Linked DNA regions of Drosophila melanogaster. Changing the gene in region 1 together with any one later gene gives a genetic interaction. Each region holds a gene or a part of one and is shown in the gene's direction. Other genes may lie near its edges. The genes, in order: so, cry and gl.

Region 1 (3,756 bases):
GTTTTTCTCATTCATGTTGGACAAGATTTTTATCGCACTTTTTCATTAACATTTTGTGGCATCCCGTATCGCTGCCTCTCCATCCAACTTTGTTTTATGGCCATCTTTATGTGTTTTCTGGTCCCTCTGGCATTCCCAACTGTTGTCGTTGCCGTCTGTCTTTCTAATTCGATTGAAATATGATCTGTTATTATGTAAATTTTACGATTTCCTAATTTTTTTAACACTTATTTTGGCTATCGGTGACTGTCGAGGCCTGGCGCCAAAACCTTATCGATCGCTGTAAACGATACTGAAATCGCCAGCGGTATGGATCTTCACTTGGCATCTGATCTGTGTGGGCAGTTGCCGATCTTGATTAGGTGCACCGGCCTGGCGCCCCATTAGTCCATCATCTTTGTTGGATTTCGATCGAGTTTCCCAGCTCCGTTTCCGAATTTGCATTTTGGGTGGTCCTCGATGCGATTTTCACGGCACACGCTGAGATCGAGCTACCGATAAATGGGACAGAATTTTAATAAAGAAGTGCTGAAAATAATACCATTTGTCTAAGCGGTTCCTCCAACAACAGGTACTTTGACTAATTTCTATACATTTAGCGTTACATTACATTAATTACATTAATTTACATTAATTACATTAATTACCATCTACAAAATTCACTAAGCAGTGTAGTACTCTGTGATTTAAGTTGACTATTTGTATTCAAAAAGAAAGTTAGGCATTCTGAACGCATCGCTGCACTTTGTACAGGTGTCTCTAGATCATGTTAATAGTTTGAAATTAAATTAGGTTCAAGTTATTTCAGTTATCATGAACAAGGACTTGAAGACGAAAGGAGCCTGTGTATATAGTAAATATTTAGTAAACTAAATATATTAGTAAATCATTAACACAATTAGTTGGCTTCAATTACCAAACGGCTTCATCTCCTTCGGAATCATTAAATAATACAATGCAAACCGCACTAATGTGGAAGGACCACAAGGTTGAGTTAAACCAAAAAAGTGGAGTGAATGAATATGAGAAAAGGCCAGTAATTGCAATTATACGAGAGATGCATGGAACTATTGCGGTGAGTAATTCAAACGGCATTGTAGGATGGCAGCTATTGCACCGGGCATCCTTTCAGCCAGGATGAGGAGTTCCTGGGGAGGAGCAGCGATGCAGTTGCAATCACCTCCGATTTCCGCCTTTCAATATGGCGCCCAATGCGCATGCCTTTTTGCTGGCATGCGTTTCCGCTGACCAATCAGCACGTTGCTGTCCTCCAGTGCGCCGGTGTGCGTGAGGGCATCTATGTGTGTGTGTGTGTGTGTGTGTGTGTGCGAACAGGTAAGCCGAGGGGGCGTTCTTTCGGTCAACCTGTTTATGCGCTCTCTCGCTCTTTCGCACGCTGCCCCTCTCGCAGTGGCTGTCAAACTGTTGTCGATTGGCACCGTGTGTCAAATTCAATGGCTACACGTTTATAAAAATATTTGTCCAATTAACTTAACTTAACTTAACTTAATTGTAAGCCACTTTAAAAATATATAAAACCATTTTCTAATGTTTTGAAGATACAATAGCATATAATAACGGAAAAATGTACTATGTCTTACTACGAAAACATTAGAATACAATAAAATAAAATAGAATAAAAATAAAAACACTTGTAAAGGCAAGATATTGAAAACAACTAAAACGTAGTGAATTCTGAGTTATCATCAGTTCATATATGTGTAATCATGAACTGTGTGTGCCCAGTGACTTTATAAAAGTCAGTGAATGTAAGTCTCGCTTCACTTGATTCCATTATTTTCCTATAACGTTTTTGGAAAGTGACGCACAAAGTGTCGGTGCATCCCACTGTGCAGTTCACCCCCTTGGTGTTCGCTCACTCACACACTCGCACGACCAGTCGGCCATCTCGCTCTGGCGCACGCACACCGCCAGCGGCACCAACCATTTTCTGCCTTTTGTCTCGGCCGTTTTCGGTTCGATTAGGTTTGAGAACCGGAGAGTTCTCAGTTGTTTTCGAGATTCCGTCGCGTGCGGTTCGCTGCCCGTTCTACCCACGTCGCTCGCTTAGTAATCCAGGCCGGATCCGGCGGTCTTTTGACGTCCCGCGCACAAAGTTATATTTAATTTGCGTGTTTCCTGAATGAACGCATCAGTATCGCGCCACATAAACGCACACGAAGCGAGAGAAAAGCGAGCAAAATTGAGCTAATCAATCCGCGGGCGGCCATTTTTTGTTGGCACTGCCTCAGTGCTGTCGTCGCAGCTTTGCCCACCAAATTTGCAGGTGCAATTTGTCCGAGTCGCGCAGGACAGCGAAGTTTTCGCGAAAAGTAATTTGCAACACGTGTTCGCACAGTGCGTATGAGCAATATTCAACGGCAAGCTTGTGTTAGTTAGTGCCCAGTGTGATCGCGACTAAGAGTGTGTGCGTGCGCGAACGGCACATGGCTTCGATTTGAAGAGTTTGGCCAAAATGCAAATCAAGGAAATGCCGCACAGCCGAAATCAGCGCCTTCTTGGCCAACTCTAACATTTGCGGATATAGCACAAGTCGAATCGGAAAGCCAAGGCAAAAGGCACAAACCCAAACAAAGAGTAACAAACAAAAACTAACAAACTCGGATACGTATCAACAATAAATAATCAAAATACAGGTGAGCAGCGAGATTCAGTTTTCATGCTGCCGACGGCAAAAGTTTACTGTGGAACACTAGAAACCATGGCAAAAATATATGTAGATGCATAAGTAGGACGGATATTCTTTCACAATAAGAAAAACGAATGGTATATGGGGGATTAATTTAAAATAAAATTGGCATTGATACTTGAAAAAGGAGATATAATAACTATGATAAATTTCGGGACGATTATGTGAATAAATATAGCTAATATTAGATTATACATTTCCATATTGGAACCTTAAAATTATAAAACCATAAATATATACAAAAGTTTCAGAAAAATAATAATTTCAATAGGTCAAACTAAGCCTTAGAAGAACTAACCACATGTTCAAGAAATCACTTATCACCTATAGATAAGATCATAGAACATAGACCTTTTATTAAACATCCCATACGGTTAAAATGGAACTTACAGCAAAGCGTTATTCTTGATTAGAAAAGCCTAAAGTTCTCTGAGAAAGTATCAATCACTTTGCCTATTTGAAGACTTCATTTAAAAATATATTTTAGTGCTTTAAATAGCCTTTAAAGCGTGTGCAGCGAAAACATTAATGCAGTCCATAAATGTCACGGCGTATCTCTATCCGCTTTCTAATGGATCAATCTATCATCGAAGTCCATAGATTCACAACGTTTTGCCGATTTCAATGAGGAGAGCTGAGAGCCAAAGTGCACTTCGCTTTTTGGCGGCGTGGCATTGGCGAATTCCAAATGGCCAAAAGCCATCGGAAAACCAACTCGAGGCACTTGAGAAGCAATTCTGAGGGAATCGAAACGAAGGCAAAAGCACGGGAATTGCATGTTCACTTATATTTGGAAAGGAAACTTGTTTACACACCAAAAGAAAAATTCTGTTGTTTTATTCACCGCTCAATTTTTTTCTAAGTTTTCCACGTTTCCAAGTTGGCTACTCAACGGCCCACCCACCTCAGATGTATTTATTAATTAGAGGAAAAGATATGAGATGGATTTGATCCAAAGGAAAAGTAGTTTCCAGTTGTCATTCATTCATCGCAAAGGCTTTCCAACCGTTTGGTGCTCGAAACCAACGCACACAGTGTTTATTTAT
Region 2 (3,756 bases), on another chromosome or scaffold:
AAAAGCCCTTTCAACGAGTGGTCCCATCTGGTTTATGAGAAATCATATTTAATTTTCTACATGACATTTTATCAGCCAATGTTCAGTAATTTTTCACAGAACAAACTATGAAAGGCTGTCCGTAATCATAAAAAATTCAATTTCGAGGAAATGGTGAGAACTTTGTAAAAATTGGTACCACCTGGCGTATGGGTAAGTGGGTATTCCTTTGCAAGGGACAAGTTCTATTGGAAAAGTTCGACCTGAACGTAAATTAAATGCCAACTATACGAAAATGTCCATGTCAATGAAGTGAAAATTGTGAATAGAAACCCACCTGGCGTATGAGCAATATGAGTTCTTTGAGTATAAGTAATTGTATTTGCTATTCTCAATCTTTAAATTTCCGAAATTTCAATCCCAACCGAGGAACGTAAATTAGTTTCATAAAAGCTAACAAGGCAAGAAAAATTCTTTTGTCCAAAACCTTTCGACTTCACTTCATTGTTCATTTGACCCTGTTTCACTCTGCCTCTGCCACTGTTCCTTTCCCCCGCCCCCTTATAATCCTGGTTTTGGCCATAGTCCAGCCACAGAAGGCTCATCATCGTCGTCGTCATCATTTGAATTCCTCGCCCGATTGTTGCAAGCAGCGCCTGTCGTTGTTGTTGTTGCCAGGACACGTGCATCGGCGAGCTTTGCAGTTGACATTCCGTTACGCACGTTGCCTCCATTTGGTCCTTGTTCTTGTTTTTACTGCTGCTGCTGCTGCTGCTGCTGCTGTCGGTGTCGTTGTCGTTGTCTAGGCAACATGCAATGTGCAATGCTAAAGTTTTTGTGATGCAAGTGCGTAGTTTACTCACAATAAGGCTCGTTGGGACTGTCCAGCGATGTTGGGTATTCGACGTGCGGGGATTTTTTTTTATGGGGGAAAAGCTCACTCAAAGTTGGCAAAGGAGCTGTGGCCCATGCTCGGGTTAACTAACTATGCCAATGCAGGACCATAACCAAAAAGTGCGTCACTACCGAATATTAGCTACTCTATTATATGTTCAAGTGTATTTGGTTTTTCGAAATATTGATAGGAGAATACTGGTATCTAGAATTGCTCATCTTCCATCTTCATCTTTTTCTTACCAAAATAGCTATTTCCAGTATAATTTGTAGAAGAACTAACCAGGAATGGGCTAACCTACTTTTGTAGTTAGGGCGATACTTACTTGCTTTACAAATGAATGTCTGCACAGCACAAATCAAATAATCAATAAATCTTATAACTATTTAAACTTAAATGTATTTACTCATAATAAACAACCAAGTAAATATACCCAAATAGGTAATTATTACTTCAAAGTGATAAGTATAAGCATGCAAACAGCCCATCTCGATCCCACTGCAGAGTTGAGTGCTTGCAAAAGCTCGTCACGTCATAAGCGGCAACAGTTGGGTTCAGTTTCTGGTTCTGTGTGCTCAGAACGCAGTGCCCCACTGTGAGAGCGAAGGGAAGAAGGGGTGGGACAGTCAGCTGGGGGTCGATTCGGGGTGGGGGCTCGGCTCGTTCTCGGCGCAGAGCTAGAAGTGCAGGCAACCGTGGGCAGAGTGCCACACTTATGCTCACACAAGCACCCAAGCACACAGTCGCCCCTTCGCACACACACACACACACACATACAGATCGACAGCTTTGTATTGACGCACTTGAACGGGCTGTTTCTAGTTACCGATTCACAGTACACGCTTCTACACTGGGAGAAAATATGCATGTCCGCAAAATCCTTATCAACTCTCGAATCTTTTCTCGCAGCCATTATAACGAGTTTTAATACTAAATATGCATAGAAATTCAAAATATAAACAATAACAAAAACAAAAACGATATTTGGATGTTATAGAACACTCTTAGTTTTAGCCTGCGTTTGGTTTTGCCCAACTTAAACTTTGGTTATAATATATATAATATATGGAAGTAAGTACTTTTTTTCAGTGTGCGGTTCCCACAGGTCTCTTTCTCGCCATCTCTGTTGCACTCACCGTACTTATGCGATTCATTTTAGCTTATAACGCCGAACACGGGGAACGTTGAGCTGCAGTTGTAGAAACGTTCTCAGCACTCAAATTTCGCATTCACATTCTCATTCGTCAATTAGTTGCCGGCGCGAGCGAATCGTGAGTGCGGAAAAAAGAAAATCTTTTCATCAGCTGGAAAACTGTTCTTCCCGATCAAAACTGGGATTCGGGAGATTTTTGAAGCCCAAAAGCAGGGAACTCCTCACTGATGGCCACGCGAGGGGCGAATGTGATTTGGTTTCGCCATGGATTGCGCCTCCATGATAATCCCGCTCTATTGGCCGCCCTCGCCGATAAGGATCAGGGTATAGCCCTAATTCCCGTTTTCATATTCGATGGAGAGAGTGCAGGTAAGAACTGAGTTTTCGAAAATTTTATTTCGTTGCGCACACATACATGTAGGTATCCAAATTAAATTGATTACAGGTAACCTTGAACTTACCTTGCACTTTCCTAAGTTATTACTTCAAAACTTTTATATGAGATATGGATATCTCATGGAGATATATTTAAAATATTAAGATAATCTTAAAATAATTAATAGATAGCAAAACATCAAAGATAAAATATTATATCTATATATATTTGCTCATACAAAATCATCAGAAGTTTGTGTAAAAATAGATTTTTGGAAAGAGTTTGAAAATTCAACAAAATTAAAATAAAAAACCGTTGGCAACAGAGGGTTAAAATAAATACTTTTAGTTTGATTGCTATTACACGCTCATTCTCCGTATGAGCTAATATCATTTTTTGCGACTTGCATCGGTTATCACATACCACCTCTTTCCGCGACCGCTGCGAATTCAGCGTTTTCGCTGCTTGTGAAAATGGAAAGAGGGCGAGAGCTGCAGGGGCGGAAAATGGAGGGAAAACCTAATGCACTTTTGCATGGTAGAGCAAAACAAACGATGCGCCCTAATGCCATTTGTGGCTGGCGGTTTTGAGAATTTTCCGTCGAATCGCTGGGAGAGAGATATAGAAAGACAATGCAAAATGGGTAGAGACATTGAGTGCAAACCAGAATAGCAGTATAATGCTTGTGTTTAAACAGCTCGCTCACGGAAAAAGTCGGCGAGAAACGGGGATACCTATAGAACCCATCACTTGACCGATAAGCGTCGTTTTGTGGGTAAAAGCGTGAAAACAAATATTACAATGGAAAATGGGCTAAACTGAACCATTTGTTTGCACAAAAGCTGAAAATTTATCTAAAAGGTGGCACTTAAACACACAAACTTGTTTTGAATTCCTAGTTTTGCGAAAATTGTGCACGAAAAAACTTTGAAAATGCATAATTTTTTTTAAATTTATAAATCTTATAAAACCGTTAAATGCTCTTCCTTAACAGGTACCAAGAATGTGGGTTACAATCGGATGCGTTTCCTCCTGGACTCGTTGCAGGACATCGATGATCAGCTACAGGCGGCAACTGATGGACGTGGACGCCTCCTGGTCTTCGAGGGCGAACCGGCTTATATCTTCCGCCGGCTACATGAGCAAGTGCGTCTGCACAGGATTTGCATAGAGCAGGACTGCGAGCCAATTTGGAATGAGCGCGATGAAAGCATCCGTTCTCTATGTCGGGAGCTGAATATCGACTTTGTCGAGAAGGTATCACACACGCTTTGGGATCCGCAATTGGTGATTGAGACCAATGGTGGCATTCCACCGCTGACCTACCAAATGTTCCTGGTGAGTTTAAAGCTC
Region 3 (3,756 bases), on another chromosome or scaffold:
GAAAACTGGTTCGAATCTGCTCAGACTGTGGATCTGATTTTAACACACACGACGCTGGCTGGGCTTGACCTGAAATTCCCATCGATAAGGTAAGGTGATATGGGGGATATAGCTCGATACGTATGCGATCACTGCAAGCCTTTGCACTCAACTGATTTTGCCAATTGGCGGTGAATTCGATTTCGGGCGTGTGAACCAGGTGATCGATCCGAATTGGGATCTCTTCATAGCATTATATCTATAATATATCTTAGCTAAATATAGTCGAGTTGGGCTTAACACATCTATTTCATAATTTCCATTTGCTTTTCCATCTGGCCTGCGATTTATTCCTTGCTTTTTCTGCTGCGACCACAAATCGAACTATCAAATAACATTCAAACTATTCACGATTGTCGGCCCGGCGACAAGAGCATCGATCGATTGGCAGTCGTCATTGGCCGGGCTACAATTGAGAATCAGCGCCGGAGATAGAGATACAAAGATACACGCAACAGAAGCAGATACACACGGCCAGATACGCAGATACAAGCTACAGAAGCAGTCAGGGGGTTGCCGGCCGACTTGGCCGATGGACTGCCTCACTTAACCACAAAACAATGGAGCGAAGAGGAAGCAGAATGCCGACGAAGACGATCAATGGTTGGCAAGTCCGTAGCAACTGTCCCTCCCTCATCAGAGACCCTGCCAGAAAATTCCCATTTTAATATGTGAATTACTTTATTTTCAATACTTCTTGTATCATATTTATATCATACCAATTACATTGTTTATTAATAATCCCTATAGTACTTTTTGTTTATTATGTAATAAAATTACAATACCTTTATTTTAAGAAAGTAAATAATATGTTATATATCGAAAATATTCACTAATCACAAGCATATCAAATAGTCTCAAGTGATTTGATGTCCTCTTAAGAATTTAGCGACAATCTGCGGTTGTGCATCTATAGATTTTAAGGAAAAGGAACTTCATATCTTCTTTTCAACAAATAAAGTGAGGATACTTGTTTGTGAATTGAAAACAACGTTATTTGAACGGCCATCGATTTTGAAGTGTAACATTCTAGAGCACTAGAACTGCTTGCTAGCGATTATTTCTCGAAGTGTACTCTTTTTTCTCCCCGCCTCGTTGGTATCTGGTGTCGAGCTGTAAGATATTGGGTGACAAATAAAAACTACTGAAAACTGCTGCCGATGTAGCTGGCCACGTATGAATGGGCCTGAAACTCGGACTGGGCGGGATCGGCAGCGGAGGAGTCGGATATGGAGGCGAAGGCGAAGGCGGAGGAGGGTGACTTTGGATTTGGATGAGGATGTGGACGTGGAAGCAGCAGAGGGGTGGGTAGTAGCCGCAAAAGCCGGCAGACGGAGCGCATTGGTTGGCCAACAACGATGACGGCAGCGTTGTTGTGGTGGTGGATGGATGGAATCTCAGGAGTGGGCATGGGATATAGTGCGGGATGGCTTGGTGTGGGTATGGTATGGTATGGGTTTGGTATTGGAGGAGGGGTGCTTTCAGCAAGGGTCTCGAGTGTGTAGTGCTGCGTACTTGTGTCATTATAGCCGACCAAAGTGTGAGTGCGAGCGAGATTGTTGTTGCCGTTGTCTTTTGCGCCCTTTTGTCGCTTGTTTATAATTAAGTGAGTATGTTTTTTGCGCCCTGCTGCTTCCTCTGTAGTTGTCGGTTGTCGCTTTGCTGCCGCTCTGCCAATCCGATATATCAGTCGATTTTGGGCCGAGGTGGCTCGAACCGAACTGCAACTGACAATTAGTCGCCGTCTTATGCTCCTCGCCAAAAGTCGCTTCTTGCCCCGCACTCGAAAAATCGAAAACTGAAAACGCATAAAATTCAAATCGGAAAACAACGATCGTGTGTTACTACTTAAAACCGAGTCTTCGAAAAAAAAGTTACAAACATATTTTGCAAGAAAACGTTGAAATTCTATTGGTGATCTTGGTATCATGCCATTTGTGGATCTATTCAGAAGGTGAAAACGATTAAGAGTGCATATGTGAATAAAGAACGGAATAAACAATATTAAATCTGCAATAAAAAAGAAGAAAGAAAAAATGGAATACAACTAATGTATTTGAAATAAAACCTAATAACTGCAAATAGCTAATTAAAATGTCCTAACAATGTTTTGGCTAAGATCGAAAAAATCAATTCACTAAGAAGATTTTATCAATTTAACAATATCATAGCTTTGATCTCATTAAAAAGAAAAACAAAAATTTACTTTGATTTGCATGCATAAATTAGTTAAATAGCAATTTTAACGTTTTGTTTCTTTCAAAATGAAAGTTATTGTAATTTTAGTATAATTTTTTAGTCCTAACAATAATGAAACAATCGAATTGAAATCCATCTTCGTCATAAGAGCGATCTATAATTCGATATCTCTTTTAAATTTAGAGGTGAAGAATCTGTCATATTGTGTATCTAATTTCTGATTAGCTGTCGAACTTTATTTAAAACTGAATTTATTAACACTTTATTGAAAATATATGAAGATTAGATTTGATATTGGTATTTGATTGAATAAATAATAAATTGAATAATAGATTTGAATAAATGAATAGAAAGTGAATCTTAATTAGAATTTACCAATAATGTTCCGTCATCGCCTTGCAGTTGGAAATTAACGCATCAAGATGAAGCGTAGGAAAAGCAGGAACAAATGCGCGACTGCTGAGCCCAAACGTTCCAGAAGTGGAGTCATGTCATGGGATTGTTATATAAGGGTTCCAAACTCCTGAACACAATTCTGGGTGAGTGAAATCGGAAGCACCATTGCACAGATATGCAGATACAGCATATTGTATGGCGATACACGGATGGAAAGTCGCGAGTCGAGAGAGCAAAGCAAATGGCGGTCTCTCGATTTGTGTATTTGTGTGTGTCTGTGTGTGTCTCGAGGGGCGGAGCTAGTGCGCACAGTGGTTGTCATGGGAGCAAAAATGTATCCATGAGATACGCGCTGCTGGCGAGCATCTCTGGCGTACTTCCAGTGATTTTCATGCTGTTCTTTTTTTTTTTTTTTTGGCTGCGCAGATTCCCTGGAAGATCAAGAGGGTGGAGCTATGTACATATCGTGCGATGTCTCAAACGGCGGTCCTGTGGAACCAGAGACGGGCTATGTGCCCAACAATCCCCTGTTCGGCCTGGCGCTGGACAGCCCTCAGGTGAGTCCTGGAATCCTTTTTCGATTTCGCCTCAATATCTCCGGAAATCTTCGAGCGTTCGGTTGTGCTTGTTTCGTGGAAAGAACTTAGCTGAAATCTGTGATATACCTGAACTATTTAAATTTTATAACCAGGAAATAGAACCCAATACCGAAATTGTGGTTATTTTAATTTGCTATATCGGTAACTGAAAAATCAGACAGTTTTGTACTAAGAAGTTTATCATTTTCGTTTTTAAAGTAATCTATTACATTTTTAACCCATACGATTTTATCTATTGGGAAGTTTAATAGCTTAGAAATTCCTTCCATATGTAATACAATTAAACTCTCCTCAGAAGTCAGTATTAGAATGTAAAAATAGTTAAAATTTACTAAATGTTTCCACTAACTAACTAATTATTTTGTCTTAGTTACGTATTAGTACTAACTGAATGTATTTCATAACCGGTCTCAATCTCCATTTCCGTTTTCGCTCGTGCAGCAAGAGTGCGCCGCTTCCTGCGTCGGCTGCCTATCCTGCCAGGGCAGCACCGCCCTGCCCATCTCCTCGCTCACCAGCAGCG

What was found.
Region 2: of so (region 1) and cry, changing one enhances a phenotype caused by changing the other (phenotypic enhancement), as found in Drosophila melanogaster (one study listed by BioGRID).
Region 3: of so (region 1) and gl, changing one enhances a phenotype caused by changing the other (phenotypic enhancement), as found in Drosophila melanogaster (one study listed by BioGRID).

The regions. Positions count from the first base shown.
Region 1 is NT_033778.4:7,417,342-7,421,097, forward strand, and holds the start of so (sine oculis), read left to right. Parts: upstream 1-2,008; 5' UTR 2,009-2,657; intron 2,658-3,756. UniProt on the Drosophila melanogaster protein: Required for visual system development. May transcriptionally regulate genes necessary for optic lobe invagination and Bolwig's nerve formation.
Region 2 is NT_033777.3:19,210,087-19,213,842, forward strand, and holds the start of cry (cryptochrome), read left to right. Parts: upstream 1-2,067; 5' UTR 2,068-2,254; coding exon 2,255-2,396; intron 2,397-2,472; exon of another isoform or gene 2,473-2,641; intron 2,642-3,397; coding exon 3,398-3,741; intron 3,742-3,756. UniProt on the Drosophila melanogaster protein: Blue light-dependent regulator that is the input of the circadian feedback loop. Has no photolyase activity for cyclobutane pyrimidine dimers or 6-4 photoproducts.
Region 3 is NT_033777.3:18,370,754-18,374,509, reverse strand, and holds the start of gl (glass), read left to right. Parts: upstream 1-1,771; 5' UTR 1,772-1,993; intron 1,994-2,640; 5' UTR 2,641-2,731; coding exon 2,732-2,777; intron 2,778-3,060; coding exon 3,061-3,191; intron 3,192-3,674; coding exon 3,675-3,756. UniProt on the Drosophila melanogaster protein: Transcription factor required for gene expression specific to photoreceptor cells.